Oryctolagus cuniculus: one gene and its partners. The main gene of each other region encodes a partner of the protein of the gene in region 3 in a complex. Links are inferred from orthologs where the notes say so. Each region holds a gene or a part of one and is shown on either strand. Other genes may lie near its edges.

Region 1 (4,513 bases), on a different chromosome or scaffold from region 3:
GAAACACCATCATAAGTGGTTGTGGCTCCCACAAAGACATTTTTAAGAAGAGACAAGAAAATGCTAAGAGTTCATCTGGTTTTTCTGTGTAACTCAGCTAACACACTTGATACACCTGCCTTTGGTTTCCACGCCCAATGCCAATCCCTCTTTTTCCAAAATTCCATTTATGAGACCCCTCCCTCAGAGAGGTAGCCACAGGGGAGGAGGCTCTTATCCACCAAGTTGCGTGGATACTTCAGAGTCACTGTAATTTTATTTCATGACTCAAACTTGAGACTCAAGACAACAGGCCACAGACTATTTCAGGGAACTTGCCAAGAGTTGGCCCAGGTCCCTCACATGCCAGTTATCCCTGTGACATAAGGAAAAGTAAGGCGATTCCAGCAAGACAGTAGAGCCAGGATAAACATTTAAATTCCTTCAGATATAAAGTTGTTTTTTTTCTTTTTCTTTTTTTTTTTTTTGACAGGCAGAGTGGACAGTGAGAGAGACAGAGAGAAAGGTCTTCCTTTGCCGTTGGTTCACCCTCCACTGGCCGCCGCGGCTAGTGCGCTGCGGCCGGCGCACTGCGCTGATCCGATGGCAGGAACCAGGTACTTCTCCTCGTCTCCCATGGGGTGCAGGGCCCAGGCACTTGGGCCATCCTCCACTGCACTCCCGGGCCACAGCAGAGAGCTGGCCTGGAAGAGGGGCAACCGGGACAGAATCTGGCACCCTGACAGGGACTAGAACCCGGTGTGCCGGCGCCGCAAGGCGGAGGATTAGCCTAGTGAGCCGCGGCGCCGGCCCATGAAGTGAATCCTGAAGATGACTGCCTGCATGGACGCAGGTAGGACACTGCACACGCACCGTCAGTAACTGCCACCCAGGCGACAGTGGCTCCCAACATCCACGTCTCTCTTTATTGTTCACACACCAAGACGAATGGTTGGACTGGACATTAATCCTCCAGAAACGTCCACGCAGGGAACACCAGCCCCACCACTCTCTGACAAAGCCTGAACTCGCTTCTACATTCCCAGCAGCTGACTTTGGAGGCAAGGAGTTCCTCGGGGACAGTCACTGCCTCCTGGCCTTTCCAGTGAGCCGCTCCCCATCCTGTGCATCACACTGGGAGGGGCCTGGCTGTGCCCACGGCCCGGGAAACGGCACATGGTACAACTGATTTTCCCAAGGCCTCGAAGACAGGACGGAGCCTGACCTGGAAGAGGGCAGCACAGTGAATGAGAGAACTGCAGAGGAGGGTGGATGATGCCACGGGGGGTTTACTAGATCCTCTGCCCAGAACCTCGGAGAAAACTTGCTAAAACACAAATTCCTGACCTCATTTTCCAAACTGAATTGACATTCTGGCAGTGGGATCAGAGAATCTTCATTTTTAAAAAAACAATCAGAGCCATGCAGTTGTAACAATCACAACTGTGAGTGTAAAGGGTTCTAAACAAATAACAAGGACTCCGTGTGTTTAACAAGCTCCCCTGTGGATCGGAGGCTCAGGTTTCCCAGGTCAGAGGAAGGGCCACACTCTGTGCTGGCCACTCCTTGGTCTGTGACCCTCACGGCCTCCTCTCCACTACTCCCAGCCCACCACTGATACTCGACCCTCCTAACAGACCAGAGCACTTCTCGGCTTCCTGCTTTGCGCCTAATATCTCGGGTCTGGAAGCTTCTGTTCCTCCTGGCCCTGCTCTGCTGTCTCACTCCACGTACTCTCCAAGGCTACTATGCACCCCAGGCACCATCACAGACAGAGCCTCAGAAATCAAACCGTAATTGATTTCGGCTCCTGGCTCCTTCAATGACCTGGGGCAAGACAGCCTCTGTCTCCATTTATAAAAGAGGGAGGTGGGACTCTGCATGGTGCTCAGCACACGCTTGCCAGATTCAGCTTCTGTGTTCTTAACTCCCTCTCCTCTCTACCAGACTATGAGCTCGGTAGACTGTAACCTTGAGCGTGGTCTGGTCTATAATCCTTGGCAGGGATTAGAGACGGTGGGGGTGGGAGGGTAGGACGGTCCCTCTTCATGCAAAGCCCTAGGACACAGAACAAGGGCCTGGTGTGGATACCCAAGGCTGCAAAATGAATCCCTAACCCCATGCAGCCCTCAGCTCTTACCTGCCCAACATTGAAGGTCAGTGTGATGGCATAAAAGAAGTTTGAGTTGGCACTTCCTGCATAGATCCACAGGTGCCACAGGACAGGGAAGAGCAGGGAGCAGACGACAATGATGCAGGTGAGGACAAAGATGTTTCGCAGGACTGCAAAGACAGACGGTCACAGTTAGCCCAGTGCTCTCTGGAGCATCCTTTCCTTGCTGAGATGGCCCTGCAGTTAAAAGGGGCCCGAGGAAAGCTGTGTGCACCTCAGAGGCAGAGCTCCCCAGAGGCACCACAGGGCCAGGAGACAAATCTCAGACCCCCGAGTCAGTGGCTCCCCATGCTCACAGCTGGTGGGAACGCCTGGATTTGGATTCTTTCCTCTTACTGTGGGCTGGGTTGGCCCAAGATCTGCTATGGTTGGCAATAACCCGAGTGCCTCTGGTCACGGCAAACAGGGTACTTCAGGAGGGTACTGCCTCCCTCCCCAAAATCTGAGAGTGTCCAAGAGCAACTCTTCCCTTTTCCCCAAGCAGGGCGATCTGACCATGTTGGCTCCTGAGTGGGAAGTGCAGCACGAATCACGGAGGTGAGTCCCATAGTGAGTCCCATGGTGCTACAGTCCCGTCCTTAATGAGTGTTTCAGGTCCCCGTCTTGTTCTTCAAATGTCCCTCTCTTCCCTAGATGATGATTTGAACATCTTTTTGACACTCTCCCCTCTGACACCACTGTTGTGTTCTCAGAGGTGGTAGTGCTTCCTGAGGCCCAGGAGCAGCCCAGACAGCAGGTGGAGTTTGGATGGGCAGGCAGCATGCTGGCAGGGCGCGGACTTGGCCTCAGAGAGACTGTGGTGAGAAGTCCTGCTCGTCATTTACTAGCACTCTCTCTCTCTGTAACTGACTTTCAAATAAAGTAATTAAAAATCTAATAAATTAATTAAAAGTTTGTAGAAAATGGTGCAAAATGTTTGGGGCCATTTGGGGAGCACTTCTACCCGTAGGTTCACTCCCCAAATGGCCCCAACAACCGGGACTGAGGTAAGCTGGAGCCACAGCTGGAACTCTATCCGGGTCTCCCACATGGGTGGCAGGGAAACAAGCACTTGGGCATCTTCTGCTGCTTTCCCAGGCCATTAGCTGGGAGCTGGCTTGGAAGTGCAGCCGATGGGTATTCATGTACCAGTACTCATGTTGGATGCCAGCATGGCAGGCAGCAGCTTTACCCACTATGCCACAATGCCGGCCCCATGAGAAGTATTTTTTTTTTTTTTAAAGATTTTATTTGAGAGGTGGAGTTAAAGTGAGAGGGAGAGACAGAGAGAAAGGTCTTCCTTCCGTTGGTTCACTCCCCAGATGGCTGTTACGGCCAGAGCTGCGCTGATCCAAATCCAGTATCCAGGTGCTTCTTCCTGGTCTCCCATGCTACTGCAGGGGCCCAAGCACTTGGGCCATCTTCTACTGCTTTCCCAGGCCATAGCAGAGAGATGGATTGGAAGACGGGCAGCTGCGACTAGAACTGGTGCCCATATAGGATGCCGGCACCGCAGGCAGAGGATTAACCTACTGTGCCACGGCACCGGCACCAAGAAGTATTGTTGTTATTACTATTATTGCTATTATTATTATTCTAAAGATTCATTTATTTGAAAGGCAGAGTTACAGAGAGGCAGAGGCAGGGAGAGAGAGAGAGAAAGAGAAGTCTTCTATCTGCTGGTCCACTCTCCAGATGGCTGTAACAGCTGCAACAAGCCAGAAGCCTGGAACTTCTTCCAGGTCTCCCACGCAGGTGCCGGGGCCCTACTTCCACTGCTTTCTCAGGCCAGAGCAGAGAGCTGGATCAGAAGTAGAGCAGCCAGGACTCAAACCGGTGTCCATATCGGATGCCAGCACTGCAGGAAGCGACTTTACCTGCTACACCACAGCACCAGCCCCTATTTTTGTACTAAACAATGTTACAAGGAGAACAATTTGTTTGCTACTCCTTCACTCTATCATCGTTATTTACATTTCTCAGTGGTTCCTTCTGATCCTCTAGAAACTGTTTTGCTGAACATACGTGCTATTCCTAAACTAAAACTCTGGTGGCCTGATGGTCGAGGCGGCTCTGTGCTCCGTGGAGATTTCAGATGGGCACAGGGACAGGGTGAAGGGAGGAGACGAGTACGGAGATGAGAGAGGCTCACATGCAGCTTCTGGGCGGCAGAGACACATTCCCATGTGCTCAGAGGAATCGTCAGCAACGTCCAGTTGGCTTCTGGCCTGTGGTGACCTTTGCAGGAACAGGGAGCTGCTACTCTCTCTAGCTGGCTGAGAGGCCAGCAGATTAAGGCTAGACGCCAGAGCAGATGGAGCTGGGGACCCAGGGCACAGTACAGCTTGTTCCAGGCACCAGGAGGCGTCAGAGATGACCAGG
Region 2 (5,201 bases), on a different chromosome or scaffold from region 3:
TGCCCAGCTCGGGCCAGCTGGCCAGGGACCGGGCTGGCACTGCACCCGCACCGCTACTGTTTTCAACCACAGCGCTCTATGACAAAGATGTACTGAGTGTTCACCAGGCAACCTTTCCTGGTGCGTGGCCAAATAATCATCGCCCCATCTACCACTTCCTGCTCGGCCCGAGCCAGAAAATGGGCCACGTGCGTACCTGCGCTTTCCCCCAGAGCCCCCGGAGGGCACCTCTGCCCCGGCCCCGTCCCCCACGACCTACTCTGCAAATGGGGCGGATGTGCACGGCCTGGGAGTGGTAGCTGGTGTGGAACAAGCGGTCCGCCTTCAGCAGCACGGAGAGGCCTGCCTGGAGGAGGTGAGACGAGGTGAGAGGCAGCACCCTGCGGGGCGAGCCTGGCTTGGAGCAGGTTCGCTCCGATGCCCCTGGCTGCCAGCCTGCCAGGGGGCGTCTGCCGATTCCCTCCCCGCGCTGGTGCCCCAGCCCTGCCCACACTTGCGATGCCCCTGGCTGCCAGCCTGCCGGGGGGCGTCTGCCGATTCCCTCCCCGCGCTGGTGCCCCAGCCCTGCCCACACTTGGCCTCACCTTGGAGCTACAGGGCAGCAGCTTCTTCCATGGGGTGAGGTTCTCGGTGCAGACAACCTCCCGCGGCAGCACGGCATAGCGCAGGAAGTAGTGGTCAGTGTCTGCGGGAAACACAGTCCACAGGTGACAGCGGCCCCACGTGCTCCCCGCCCACCCGACAGTCGCGGCTGGGACTCGGCCTCCGTCCCCCGAGAAGGAGGCAATGCGGGGACAGCACAGGCTCTGGAAAACTTCTGCTGGGGCCTGCAAACCCGGGGCTTGAGGATGGAGCCCAAGCCGGGGAGGGAGGAGACGAGGGGCCCAGAGGCCACGGTGTGGGCAGGCGGTGCAGAGGGCGAGGGCGCGGGGCTGTCTCACCGTTGGCCAGCCCCAGGGGCTTGAAGGAGGCCGTGGGAGTGACCGTGTTGGTGGAGTCGATGAAGTTGAGAGAGGCGCAGAAGATGCCCGAGAGGACGTTACTGAGCTCCTTCCACGACCTGTCCACACTGCAGGAAACACAAACCCACTCACTGGCCCGGGCTGCCCCCCCCGTCCCCCACCAGCCTGCAGCTGGCTGCCAAGCGCACGGTAGCAGGAGGCTGCACGCTCACCCACGAGGCCACATGGAGCGGGACATCACTCAGTCCACGTCCTGGTCTCCCCTACCTATCACCTCCTCCTCACGCTCCTCTGGACATCCCTGCACCCCCCAGGTCTTTGCTAAGACTCTCCCTGCCCCGCTCACTCTTCTCTGCCCACTCCAAGGTGCAGCTCCAGTCCCAGCCCCTCCTCCAGCACGGCCCCCTCCTGGGAGATGGCACCGGGATCCTGTCCTGAGCATCCCCAATTCCCAAATGGGCTGGGAGCACCTTGAGGTCATCTCTCTTCCCCCACACCACCAGGATGGCGCCCACGGCTCAGAGCTGAGCTCAGTTCCCTGAGCCTCCTGTGCGTGCCCAGCTGGACAAAGCAGCCCACTTCCCCTGTGAATACCCTGGGCAGGGAGGCAAGCCCTGGTCCTACGCCTCGGGGTCAGGCCATGGGGGGCGGTCTGCTATCAAAAACCTCACTGAACAAGGAGAAGGCCCCCATTCTAGGACCCCGCAAAAACACCAAATTAATTGTGTTCTTAGAGGAATATCAAAAGGGATTTGCTCCCTAATTAGTAATACAAGTAATAAATTGAATAAGTACTAGAATTCGAAACATTATAGGCAATAAGGGGCAAAGGAGAGACAGGGACAGCAGAGCAGATAGAAAAAGGAAAATTGAAGAGTGCCAGAGCTCAGAGAGACAGCCTCCTCGGAAGGTGAGGGTCACCGGCTGCTCCTCCTCTGACAACGCCTCAGTGCCGGCTGTGGTTTCTGATAATCCACCATTCACAGCTTTTCAATCACTCCCATCTGAAGGACTGGGGACTGAAGCCCCAAAGTTCCACCCAAGTCATAATTACACTTCCACTGGAATGCCTAACATTGACCAACACAGCATTTTAAAGTTTTCCCATGTCCACAGTACATTCCAGGTTCTTGGTCTCCCGAAAACCGAGAGCCTGAGCACGCTGGAGTCCTGGTCCCACCAGCAGCTGGCGTCTCCAGCCTCCAGGCCCTACCACTTATTGCCCCAAAATTGACGACACCTGCCCTACTGATTTCCTGTGGCAGGACTAGGAGGAAGTCAGATGCAGTTCCCATCCCTGGGCCTCTAACAGTGTGTTTACCCCTTACCCATGAGGCCCACACTGGCAACTTCTGCACAGAACAGTTCTTCTCCAGACAGCAGAGCAGTCATTGCGTCCAAGAGCGGTAACCAGCCCTGCCCTCTCCCAACCAAAATAATCCCTCAAACACAGAAGCCTAGCATCCTGCGGGCCAACACATTACCTTTACAAGTATGGGGTTGGGCACAAAGTGCAGTGGTTAAAGCACCACTGGGAATGCCCACATCCCACATCAGAGTGCTGGTTTCAAGTCCAGGCTCTGCTGCCGCCTCCGGCTTCCTGCTAATGCACACGCTGGGAGACACCAGGTGACGGCTTAGGTACCTGGGTCCCTGTCGCTCACCTGGAAGACCGAGACTGAGCTACAAGCTACTGGCTTCAGCCAGGTTCAGCCCCGGCTGTTGTGCGTATTTGAGAGCAAACCAGGAGATGGGGATTTCTATGTCTCTTTACATTTTAAATATTAAAAATAAAATGCATGACTGCCTTTTAGAAAGTTGTCCAGTTTGCCTGTTTCCTGCTGCTTTAATATCCAAACACACGTCAGTGGTTTCACATCTGCTGGTACCTCATCATCTAGAAGCATCAGGGGCAGGAAACCAGAGGATGCCACTCCCTGGTGATACCATTTCTTATTCCCAGCAAGGCTCTAATCCCACGGAGTCGCGCGGACCGGAACTGCTGCCCACCCCCTCCGTGACCTGCAACAGGACCCGAGGTGGCCACTCACTCAGTGACAGTGTCCTGGAACCAGACCCAGAGCTCTGCGCCCGATGGGGCCTGCAGGAAGGGGGACCCCCAGTATCGGGTCCTCCAAAAGCCCTGCGTGAACGACAGGTGCAGCTCGCGGAGAGAATACTTGGCGATCAGCTGCCCCAGGGCTTTGGGGAAGAGCCTGTAATGAGACGCTGGGGAAGAGGGAGCAGATGAGCGACGACCCCTCCGCGTCGGGACCCGCCCCCAAGGCTCGCCGTCACCTCCCACCCCCCAAGCAGGTGCCACAGAGATCTCTTTCTGCGGCCAGATATCTCCTGCACACCTCGTTCCCTCTGCAGCTCCGAATCCCAGCGCGTGCGGAACTGGAAGGTGGCGGCCACGTCCCCGGAAGGCAGCGGGGTGATAACGAGCTCCTCCCGCAGGGTGTCGCGTGGGGGCTCTGCCTGGCTCCAGCCGCCTGGCCCCAGGAGCAGCAGCACCAGCAAAGCGAGCGGCATGGCCGCCGCCATGCCAGCGGCTGCTTCCGCCTCCCAGCAGCTCCCGCCCCCACGAAAGGCCGGCATCCAATAGGAAGGGCGCGTGAGAAGTGACTTCCGGTGTCGTCCCGGAAACCCGAATGCGATTACCAGAGCTGCTCGCTCGTCAGGCCGCCTGATTCCCATCTGGTCTTAGTGGGTTTAAGGGGGCGCTGAGGTAACACCAAAGCGGGTAGTGGCGAGGCAGGGAGCTGGCTTGAGAAGCCACTGCCTTCCAGATACTTGCACCCGCCAGGAGGTGCATGCTAATAGGGAGCGATGCCACTACCCTCGTGTCCACTTTATATTTGAGGAAAGTAACCGAAAAAGGTCATTTTTGCGAGGGCACGGAGCGGGGCTCATGCCTTCCTCGGCTTCCAGTGTCTGCAGGTACCCGGTCCTAACCCGAGCCAGCTCCCCATTGGCTCTTTTGCCATGCAACTTTTCAGACTTGAAAGAATGAGCACCTGATACAGTGAGCATATTTTTGGCCATCACCTAGATTCTACCACTAACAAACATTTTACCATACTCGTGTTTTATCGCAGATCTGCCCATGCATCCGTAAATCCATCTTACAGTTTGCTGCATCTCAATGTAAGCTGTAGACATAATTCAACTTCCTCTGAATAATTCAGCATGGGGCCAGCGCTGTGGCGCAGTGGGCTAATCCTCCCCCTGCAGCACTAGCATCCCCTATGGGCGCCGGTTCGAGTCCCAGCTGCTCCTCTTCCGATCCATCTCTCTGCTGTGGCCTGGGAAAGCAGTGGAGGATGGCCCAGGTGCTTGGGCCCCTGCACCCACATGGGAGACCTGGAAGAAGTCTTGGCTCCTGGCTGCAGCAATTTGGGGAGTGAACCAGTGGAAGGAAGACCTCTCTCTCTGTCTCTGCCTCTCACTGTATGTAACTCTACCTCTCAAATAAATAAAATCTTAAAATAATTCATGCAGGCATTTCATTAACTGGGGTTCCATGTTTACATTTTTTTCTGATGTGAAACTCAAATACAGTGAAATGAGTGAACCTGATGTGCACATTGAATTTTGACAAATGCATATACCCATGTAACATTCCTGAAATCCTAAAAAAGTTGGCTAATGTCTCTTCCTATTTAGCCCTGCCTCCCCTCCACTTTCCAGAGATGACCACTGTTCTATCTTTTTCCTCTAATGTTCTAGAACTAAATCTATAAATGAAATTATCACATGCATGATTTTTGTGTGAGGCTTCTTTCGTGGGAAGACGGTTTTGGAGAATCATTCCTGTTCTTGGATGTAATCGCAGTTTTTTGTTTTTATGTATTCTGCCGATGCACATATGAACTCTTTGAAGTTTTCTTATTAAGAATGATAGTGTTGTCTGTACAAGTTAAGAGTGTCGACACAAATTTATCATATCCTATAGGCATGTGGAATTGCTGGATTAAAGAGGTGGTGTATTTAATTTTTTTTTTTTTTTTTTTTTGACAGGCAGAGTGGACAGTGAGAGAGAGAGAGAGAGATAGAAAGATCTTCCTTTGCTGTTGGTTCACCCTCCATTGGCCGCCGCGGCCGACGCGCTGCGGCCGGCGCACCGCGCTGATCCGATGACAGGAGCCAGGAGCCAGGTGCTTTTCCTGGTCTCCCATGGGGTGCAGGGCCCAAGCACCTGGGCCATCCTCCACTGCACTCCCTGGCCACAGCAGA
Region 3 (5,233 bases):
GCCTGCGTGCTCACCACCCTGCAAGGTGCGGGCTCAGAGGCAGCCCGGCACAGCGCTACGTGCCGAGGGGACCCCGCCCCCACCGCCCGGCCCTCACCGGTGAGTGTTGTGTGGAAGGGCCAGGCCAGCGGCGTAAATCGCCAGCAGCGTCAGCACCACAGCCTCGGCCTCGGCCACTGGGAAGTGCTGGGCAGCCACGTGCTGGCCCAGCACCGGCAGGACGTAGAGGGCCAGCCCCATGGCCTGGGAGATCAGCAGAGGTGCCACGAGCGAGGTCAGCCCCACACCCTGCAGGGCACACGGGCTTCTGGAGATGGGCCCTGGGACCAGGGAGCCCCAAGACCCCTCATCACCAGCCTTCTACATAGGGGTGCGGGGCAGCGGCAGGCTCCGCGCAGGACGCTAGAAGCCCTCCCCGGAAGAGGAGGGGGCGCCATCACCTGCACTGGGGGAGCGGCAAGGCTGGGCCCAGGCACGCCCCGAGCCTCGTCGGGGCCCGCTCCGGCCTCGTGCAACCGCATCCACAGCTCCAGGGCGTGGCCAGTCAAGGACTCTGCCAGGACGCGGTCTGCGGGAGGACCCAGCACCACCCCCCACCACCCCCCAGCAGGATGAGGGATTCTCCCCGGGGCTGAGGGGCTCCAAGCGGAGAGCCCGAGTGGGGCGGGGGAGGATATCTTGAGCCCGAGGACCAGGAGCAGGAAGCCGGCGGCCGGCATGTAGAGGCCGATGGAGACGAAGCGCGAGAGCGCCGGCAGCAGGTAGAAGAAGAAGGACTGGTGCAGCCGCTCCAGGAGGTGGTTGAGCTTTCGGAACATGCCCTCCAGAGCCCTGCCGCACGGGAGGCAGGGTCACAGCTGGCCGGCCCCGGGCCACCCCCTGGCGTGGGAAGAGGGGCCCAGAGCTACTTACTTGCCCACCGCTACCAGGTCGTACTTGTACTGGCGAAAGCTGTTGATGCCCCGCAGCGTGAGGGCCTCCACGCGGTAGCGCAGGAAGAGGCCGTGGGGGCCGTGGGGGCGGCCGGAGGCCTGCCGCAGGACCATGAGCAGCAGCGTCTGCAGGCTCTGCAGTGGCCCATCCAGCGATGTCCAGTCCTGGGGCTGCAGCTTCGGGGGAACAGGTGCAGGATCAGCGCGCCCTCCTCCCAGCAGGCCTTGTGCGCCCCAGGCGGGGCCTCACCTTGCCCTGCAGCGTGCACAGCAGCCCCCCTTTCTGGCAGAAGGTCTGGAAGAGGTTGAGCAGGTCAAGGTTCGGCAGCTGCCCGTTGAGTCCCTCCACGGTCACGTCGAGGCTCGTGATGACGTCGCTGCTCAGCTCCAGGGCCACGGCCGCCTGGATGGCCCCCGCCCGGCCCTGCAGGGGCGACGACTGGATGCCTGCAGGGACAGTGAGCGATCGCCAGCGAGGGGCTGGTGGAGGCAGCGACCAGGGCAGGGCAGGGCACCTACCAGTGACATTGACGTCGTGGTAGGCTTCGAGCCAGGCCTCCGTGCCCAGAAGGTCATGGTCGGTCACCAGGAAGATGATATCTTTTGCCCAGTAAATCTGCCCTGCACGTGAGAGGCAGGGTCAGCAGCAGGGCTGGGGCACCGACCAAGCCGTCCCAGGCCAGCAGCGACCCCCACAGCCAGTCTCACCACGGAAGTGGGCAGCAAGTGCCAGCAGCAGCCCCACAGCCTGGCTGTTGGTGGAGTCGGAGCTACAGGGCACGGTGAGCACCAGGGACTCGGTGCTGGCGGCTCGGGGCCCTCGCAGGATGCCATACACGTTGGTACCGGACACCAGCTGCACACAGTGGCAGGTGGGGAGCGTCAGCCCGGGAACCCCGGTACAGTGCAGGGCCCCTCCCTCTGCCCGGCCACGCCGTGCTCCCCAGGGGCTCCCCTGGCCTCGGGACCCCCCAACGCGACTCCCGCCCTATGCCACCCCAAGATGCTTTTCGGCCCCAGCCACACCCCCTCCCCCAATACATAGCGCTCGTGAGTCTCATCTGGGAAAGGCAGTTTCCGGGAGAAACTCTGCGTGTAGACCTCCAGCCCTACTGACCGCATGGTCCGCTCCAGCCAGGCCACCGGCAGGGCCCTGGAGACACAGAGCCTCTGTGAGCACGGCGCCCGGCCTCGGCCTCGGCCCTCCCAGACCCCCGCTCCGCCGCTCACCCCGACTTCCTGCGGTGGGCGGCGAAGTCGCGCGCGAAGTTCCGGGCGCGGTCCCCCCCCGCGAACTGCTCCTCCACCATGGTGGAGCCCATGGCGTTCTCGGACATGTACGTGCGCTGGGTCAGCGGCGGGAAAGCCAGCGCCAGGAACCAGGCGATGCCGGCCACGTAGCTCAGCACGCTGCGACGGGGCAGAGGGGCCGCCTCAGCGTCCGCGGGGCCGCGCGGCCCGGGCCCCCGCCCCGCGGCCCCGCGCTTACCACAGCGGCGCGTTCAGGCGCAGCACGAGGCGGGCGAGCGCGCGCCGGCGGACCGGGTCCGACAGGAGGCCCATGGCTGGGCGGCGCGGGCCCACGACCCCTCTCCCGCCACCAGTACGGGCACCGACGCGGCGCGCGGCTCCTGTCAGACCCGGGGCTTCGCGCTCGCTCGCACTTCCGGTCCCAGAGGGCCTCGCGCCGCCGCGCATGCCCAGACCAGAAGGCGGGGAGGCCCCTGCGCATGCCCAGGCCAGAAGGGTCGCAGGAGGCCCACTGCGCATGCTCTGAGCGGCGACTCGCCGGAAGGCCGCGGGGCTCGGGCTCAGCTGACTGGGGGTGGGCCCAGGCAAGGGAGGCAGCTTCCAGTTCGGCCAGACCGTGCACGAACGGGCCAGACCGGTCAGGGGCGGCGAGGAAGCATCAGCTGGACGGCTGGCAGGAGACGGAGGTGAAGCGCAGGGCGGCAGCGAGCAGCCGACGGGGATGAAGGGCTTGGAGAGGGAGGCCGGGACGGGGAATCCTCGCCGTGGGTGCCCTGCACCGAGGTCGCCGGTAGGGAGCGCGCTGCCCCTGTCCAGGCCAGGGGGTCCCCGAGGTGGTCCGGGAGACGCAGCTCCTGGTTCCCTGCTGCAGGGCTCGGGCGGGTGACGGGGGCGCAGTGGTGGGCGGGGAGGCAGGGGCCGAGCAGGGGAGAATAATGCAGGCAAGTGCACGAGGTTGTGGTACTTTTAGAGCTCAAGGTAAGGGACAGAACGGCCCAGGGTCTCCTGGGGGAAGGGGCTGCTCAGTGCAGCCCACAGCGCCCACAGCCGCCTCCCGCCGCCTGCGCGCACCGCACCGGCCCTCCAGGTGCGACTCCGGAGCAGGTCACGCGTGGGAGAGGTCCGCACGGGCCCGGCGGCCGCTGTTCAGTCCCCCAGCAGGATGGAGGCCTCGCGCACGTGCTGCCGCACGACGCGGTCCAGCAGGGTGTGCACGCCGCGCGCAGCCTGCGCAGCCGCCTCCAGCACCTGCTCCAGGTGGTCTTCGTGCAGGCGAGCGTCCATCTCCAGCAGCGCGATCTGGCCGGAGGCCGGCAGCAGGGCCAGAGCCAGCTGGGGGCTGCCCGACGCCTCCTCCACGTGGCTGAGGTCCGTCAGCGCTGTGCCGTCCACAAAGCCGGCCGAGCAGGCGCACACGAAGTCCCGCATGGGTATCCCGGCGTCCAGCACTGCCAGCGTGGCCGCGTTCACACAGGCCGCGTAGGTGCCCCCGTCCGCCTGCAGCACCTGCAGGGCCCCCGAGGGGCGTCAGGCGGCCGCCCCACGCCCCGCAGCCCCTCCCTCCGCGTGCGGGGCTGCGGCCAGCTCACCTGCACGTAGATGTCGATCTGGGAGCGTGGGTGCAGCTGGGTGAGGATGGCCGCCTCGAAGGTCTGGCGCAGCTGCAGGCCCAGCTCACAGGACTTGCGGTCCCCGTGCGGCCGGCGCTTGCGCTCGGCTGTGCTGAACGTCGCCGAGCTGTACTGGCAGTTCACCAGGGCCCGGTCGGGCAGCGCGCGCGAGCGGGAGCCCCGGATCTGGAAGAGGGGCGCCTCGTGAGCCAGGCCCAGGCCCCCGGCCCCCGCCCTAGTCCGCAGCGGCTGCTCGCCCAGCGCCGCCAGTCGCCTCGGGCGCGCGTCCCTAACCCACTCCCCGGGGCTACGCGGGTTCTGTGGGAGCTGCACCTCAACCCCCGCCTCCCCACTGCGCGGGGAGTGAAACCCCAAACCCTGGGAAAGCCTCACGGCGGACGGGTGCCCGGCTCTCCCCACCCCAGTCCGCCCACTGCTCGCGCCGACAGGCAGCGCGTGTGGACTGCCGCGGGCCGGGCCGTCGAGGTAAGGGAGCGAGAGCGCCCGGCACGCGAAGCGCCGCACGGCGGCCGGTGGGCGTTCGCTCCGAGGGCGCGCCGCCGCCGCCGCCCGCTCACTCGCCTCGTGCGGCCCGTACACCACCGCCAGCGCCTTGGTGTTGCCCTGCTCGATGTAGGCCGAGCCGTCGGCCTGCGCGAACACCCCCATCCGCGCCTGGATCTTGCGCAGCTCCCCGGCGCGCCGTCCGTCCACCCGGTAGCCCTGGTCCGACAAGAGCTCCAGGCCCGCCATGCTCGCGGCCGCCCGCTCCGCGCTCGGCCGGCCGGAGAACTACACCTCCCATCAGCCCCGGCACTTCCGGCGGCCAGGCCGCACTTCCGGTCCCTGAGGCCCGCGGCTCCGCGCGGTGTGGCGTCACTTCCGGCGCCGCGGTCCCGGGCGGCCTGCCGCGGCCGCCGGAGCTGGCGGGGCTCCGTTCTCTCGGTTCCTTGCCGTTCTAACTTTTGTTGAGTTTAAAAGCTGGGCGCGACCTCGTACGATACGGTCGTATCCGCGGAGTTGTGACTCCCTCAGGCGCTTGTCACCCCGCGGCTCTGGGGGCGCTGAGCCTGTTCCCTCGTACGCACCTTTTTGTGTTGCACAAAACAGCGCGGAATCCCTTCGCGTGGTCCTGCAGGGCTGCGTGGTGGCCGCGGAGAGCGCACCCCGAGGGCAGGGGCTTCGGGGCGAAGGCCGCAAGCAGGGCAGCGCGAGCTCTGCTGCTTTCCCACCGAGCCTGGGAACTGACCGTGTCCGTGGGAAGGGGCCCGGACCTGTGCGGCCAGCACCTGCCTCCGCTGGGCCGCATCCCACCGCAGTCTGCAGGTGGAAAGAGGCGCGCCGGAGAGGAGAGGAGACGCGGGCGCCGGTCCCGTGCTCCCGGGCTCTTGCCTCCCGTACGCCCAGCTCCCACAGTGCCCGCGTCCCCTTTGAGGGTGC
Region 4 (3,392 bases), on a different chromosome or scaffold from region 3:
TCGGTTCATTCATTCAGCAGACACTGACAGTACCGGAGACAGAAGGGCAGTTAGGCAAAGGGAACTATGAGCTTAGATCTAGAAGAGAAGAGAACGTAGCCATGCAGGGAGCCCAGGAAGGTTTACCCTGACTGAAATGTGTGTGAGTGCGGCTGGCAGGGCAGCTGGGTGCCAGATCATAAAGGACTGGGCTAAGGAGTTTGAACTCTAATATGACATGAGCGACTAGCCACCGAAGGGTATTAAGCAGGGAACTGACATGACATCAGATAGATCCTAGTGCATAAAAGCTATAGTAATGTAGGTCCAGTGGGACAGTGGCCAAGACAGCTATCTTAAGACAGTCAAAGAAGTCCCTTTAGATGGGGGGACATTCCAGGGGATGTCTTGAGGCTAAGGACTATGCTCCACCTGTGTGGCATGTCTCAGGAGAACATTTGGAGGTCTGTGCCACAGAAATCCTGGACTGGAGGATATCCTGGTGGTCATCGGCGGGGAAAACTCGGTCCCAGAATGAGTGACCAGCAAGGTAGAGGCTGTTCTGGAGCTGAGATCTTGGTGTTCTAACTCTCCTTCTCTCTCTGCCACAGGATCCAGCGCTGCCTCCCTGTACCCTGTGCTCAACTTTCTGCTCTACGTGCCTGAGCTTGCCCACTCGCCCCTGTACATTCAGGACAAGGATGGGGCTCCAGTGGCCACCAACGCCTTCCACAGTCCCCGCTGGGGTGGCATTATGGTAAAAGTCACACTCTGAAGACCCCAGAGCCCAGGCTTCAGGGACAGACAGACAGACATGCCCTGAAACTGCTTCTTCTGTTTTTCTTCTGGGGTCCTCATGCCTTCGGCCTCCTCTGCCAGCCCTGCTGCTGCTTATTTCTGCCCTGTAACCATCTTGCACTTACCAAGGCCATCCTGTGACCAGCTTAGATATTGGCTCTATCTTTGGGGGTCTTGTAAGATTGGGAACCTTGTCCCCTTGTGAGACTGGGAGTTTCTCATGGGTGAGAACTGTAAAATGAGATTTAAAATTTTCTTTTACAGGACTTTCCTGGGGTCATTGAGATAATTTATTTTTCCTTTTATATTATGTATTCCCCAAAAATGTCAGCTGTTTCATTGGGTTTCTAGTTTGTTTGTTTTTAAAGATTTATTTATTTATTTGAAAGTCAGAGTTATACAGAGAGAGAAAGAGAGGCAGAGAGAGAAAGGCCTTCATTCCACTGGTTTACTCCCCAAGTGGCCACAATGGCCACAGCTGCGCTGATTCGAAATCAGGAGCCAGGAGCTTCCTCTGGGTCTTCATGCAGGTGCAGGAGCCCAAGGATTTGGGCCATCTTCTACTGCCTTCCCAGGCCATAGCAGAGAGCTGGATCAGAAGTAGAGCAGCCAAGACCCGAACCAGCGCCCAAATGGGATGCTGGCACTGCAGGTGGTGGCTTTACCCACTACGCCACAGTGCCGGTCCTGGGTTTCTGGTTCTAATGAGCAGGGAATATGTCTTCCTTTTCCTTCATGGCCTCTGAATTGCCTAGGGGAGAGCTGTGCACCTGTAGGGGTGTGGCAACCTCAGGCTCCTTCTCCTTCTGCTTTCAGGTATACAATGTTGACCCCAAAGCCTACAATGGCTCCAGGCTACCAGTGAGAGTCGAGGTGGACATGGTACGAGTGATGGAGGTGTTCCTGGCGCAGTTGCGGTGAGGTCCTGGCTATCTACTTGGGGTGTCCTCTGTCTCCCTGATGACCTGAAGTTGGCCAGCTGCCCCCTGAGATCGTCTGCTGGGCTGCCGAGAAGGGGGCTGCCGAGAGCAGAGAAATCTCACTTGGCAGGAATGTCTTGGCTGTGTCTAGAGCCCCAGGGAAACTGAGAAAGGTTTCCAAGGAGCTCTGTGTCCTCCTCTTGAGGAGGATTAGCAGGTGACAAAACCTGTTTTAAGAAAAATAAGTTCATGTACTTCAGATCCCTGGGGTATGATTAGGGGTGCTTAAGAAGATAGCTGGCAATTCTTACGCGAACTGATCCACTGAGAGTGGCAGTCTGAAGTCCTGTGTTCTGAAGTTGTGTCTGGGCTCACCAGGAGAGTGTTCCGAGTGATTAGTAATGTCTGTCGTGGGTACAGCTTACAGAAGCACAGCACATGTGCCATGTCAAAGGTGGGCTTGCATCATCTCTTAACACCAAGTCCCACTGGCCCCATTTGTCCAAAGAGAGTAGAAAGAGTGAGGGAATTCAACGGAGTTGGTGTTAGAAATACTTTTATTATAGAACCTTTGTCCTTTGTTTTTCTTTCTTTTTCTTCTTTTTTTTTTTTTCCAGATTTATTTTGTCTATTTGAAAGGCCACAGTGGCTAGGGCTGGGTCAGGCTGAAGCCATGAGCCCAAGCTCCATCTGGGTCTCCCACATGGGTATTGGGTCCAAGTACTTGGGCCATCTTCCATTGCCTTCTTAGGGGCATTAGCAGAGAGCTGGATCAGAAATGGAGCAGCTAGGACTTGAACTGGCATCCATATGGGATGCCAGCATCACAGGTGTTGGCTTTATCCACTGCACCATGGAACTTTTTTTTTCCCACAAGATTTTGGAAATCTAATAAAGAAACAGTGGAAATGCAACATTCTGGTTGAAGCAGGGACTGGGGGCTCTGGATTGCTTGGCGTTGCTGCTCACCTTCCGAGACCCTGAGACACTTGCCACAACCCCTGTGGCTCTGGATACGACTGAAAATCATTGGCTTAGAGCAGGTATTACAGGAATCCTAGTCACAGCCTCCCACCTTCTGGTCTCAGCCACTTTGATCTTCTCTCCCTGTTTCTCCAGACTGCTTTTTGGGATTGCTCAGCCCCAGGTGCCTCCAAAATGCCTGCTTTCAGGGCCCAAGAGTGAAGGGCTGATGACATGGGAGCTAGACCGGCTGCTCTGGGCTCGATCGGTGGAGAACCTGGCCACAGCCACTACCACCCTCACGTCTCTGGCCCAGCTCCTGGGCAAGATCAGCAACATTGTCATCAAGGACGACGTGGCATCTGAGGTAAGCAGGCCTAGGATTGGAGTGGCCAGTGAGGCCCAGGGTGTGGCAAGACCAGAGAGCCAGCTGAGGCCTGGGATGAGTGTGGGCGTGCCACCCATGGTGCCCCTGGCTACCTGCAGACAGCCGTGCCAGCTCCCCAGCAGGAGTCACGATCGGAGAGAGGGTTCAAGCTGGACCTCAGAAAATAAGCCGCAGCCTTGTTAGCCTGACCTGCATAGATCCTTGGTGAACTCCAGGCCCCCTCCCTGATATACAGAAGGCCCAGTAAGGCCCAGTCCCCTTCCCCGCAATGGCCCAGGCCTTACTGCTAACCATCGTCCCCTCCCCTTCCTAGGTGTACAGGGCTGTAGCTGCAGTCCAGAAGG

What was found.
Region 1: the proteins of GPAA1 (region 3) and PIGU are in contact, whole or in part, in a cryo-EM structure (PDB 8IMX), measured with the Homo sapiens proteins. The link is inferred for Oryctolagus cuniculus from reciprocal best matches to the Homo sapiens genes GPAA1 and PIGU. Residues at the interface, in NP_003792.1 of Homo sapiens: Gln245, Leu310, Arg311, Arg313, Phe358, Leu359, Ile371, Ala389, Leu390, Trp393, His397, Leu500, Ile504, Leu508, Cys512, Leu515, Thr516; in NP_536724.1 of Homo sapiens: Tyr349, Ile355, Phe356, Cys360, Ile363, Val364, Leu367, Leu368, Val371, Leu372, Leu375, Ile377, Tyr378, Ala379, Gly380, Ser381, Phe386.
Region 2: the proteins of GPAA1 (region 3) and PIGT are in contact, whole or in part, in a cryo-EM structure (PDB 7W72), measured with the Homo sapiens proteins. The link is inferred for Oryctolagus cuniculus from reciprocal best matches to the Homo sapiens genes GPAA1 and PIGT. Residues at the interface, in NP_003792.1 of Homo sapiens: Arg97, Ser98, Val99, Gly100, Glu102, Tyr104, Arg134, Ala135, Pro136, Arg137, Ala138, Ala139, Ser140, Thr141, Glu142, Arg171, Gly172, Gln173, Ile174, Tyr199, His200, Asp201, Val202, Leu212, Gln213, Gly214, Arg215, Ala218, Arg311, Tyr312; in NP_057021.2 of Homo sapiens: Gln91, Gly92, Phe93, Arg95, Arg97, Tyr98, Ser108, Phe211, His212, Thr213, Ser214, Asp247, Phe249, Ile250, Arg340, Gln355, Tyr357, Val358, Ser359, Gly360, Tyr361, Gly362, Leu363, Leu371, Tyr373, Lys441, Asp459, Pro460, Asn461, His462.
Region 4: GPAA1 (region 3) and PIGS share a complex: the UniProt entries of both Homo sapiens proteins name them as parts of the GPI-anchor transamidase complex. The link is inferred for Oryctolagus cuniculus from reciprocal best matches to the Homo sapiens genes GPAA1 and PIGS.

The regions. Positions count from the first base shown.
Region 1 is NC_091442.1:23,521,626-23,526,138, reverse strand, and holds the end of PIGU (phosphatidylinositol glycan anchor biosynthesis class U protein), read right to left. Parts: intron 2,263-4,513; coding exon 1,928-2,262; 3' UTR 904-1,927; downstream 1-903. UniProt on the Homo sapiens protein: Component of the glycosylphosphatidylinositol-anchor (GPI-anchor) transamidase (GPI-T) complex that catalyzes the formation of the linkage between a proprotein and a GPI-anchor and participates in GPI anchored protein biosynthesis.
Region 2 is NC_091442.1:13,842,273-13,847,473, forward strand, and holds the start of PIGT (GPI transamidase component PIG-T), read right to left. Parts: upstream 3,547-5,201; 5' UTR 3,510-3,546; coding exon 3,323-3,509; intron 3,192-3,322; coding exon 3,014-3,191; intron 1,070-3,013; coding exon 942-1,069; intron 686-941; coding exon 585-685; intron 347-584; coding exon 260-346; intron 1-259. UniProt on the Homo sapiens protein: Component of the glycosylphosphatidylinositol-anchor (GPI-anchor) transamidase (GPI-T) complex that catalyzes the formation of the linkage between a proprotein and a GPI-anchor and participates in GPI anchored protein biosynthesis.
Region 3 is NC_091437.1:167,909,853-167,915,085, reverse strand, and holds the start of GPAA1 (glycosylphosphatidylinositol anchor attachment 1 protein), read right to left. Parts: upstream 3,109-5,233; 5' UTR 2,703-3,108; coding exon 2,422-2,702; intron 2,343-2,421; coding exon 2,163-2,342; intron 2,086-2,162; coding exon 1,974-2,085; intron 1,789-1,973; coding exon 1,641-1,788; intron 1,554-1,640; coding exon 1,452-1,553; intron 1,380-1,451; coding exon 1,183-1,379; intron 1,110-1,182; coding exon 913-1,109; intron 832-912; coding exon 678-831; intron 537-677; coding exon 441-536; intron 289-440; coding exon 98-288; intron 19-97; coding exon 1-18. Other genes in the region: EXOSC4 (exosome complex component RRP41), read right to left, coding at 3,330-3,689, 3,773-3,979, 4,376-4,546. UniProt on the Homo sapiens protein: Component of the glycosylphosphatidylinositol-anchor (GPI-anchor) transamidase (GPI-T) complex that catalyzes the formation of the linkage between a proprotein and a GPI-anchor and participates in GPI anchored protein biosynthesis. Binds GPI-anchor.
Region 4 is NC_091448.1:44,067,085-44,070,476, reverse strand, and holds part of PIGS (GPI transamidase component PIG-S), read left to right. Parts: intron 1-590; coding exon 591-736; intron 737-1,593; coding exon 1,594-1,694; intron 1,695-2,816; coding exon 2,817-3,027; intron 3,028-3,361; coding exon 3,362-3,392. UniProt on the Homo sapiens protein: Component of the glycosylphosphatidylinositol-anchor (GPI-anchor) transamidase (GPI-T) complex that catalyzes the formation of the linkage between a proprotein and a GPI-anchor and participates in GPI anchored protein biosynthesis.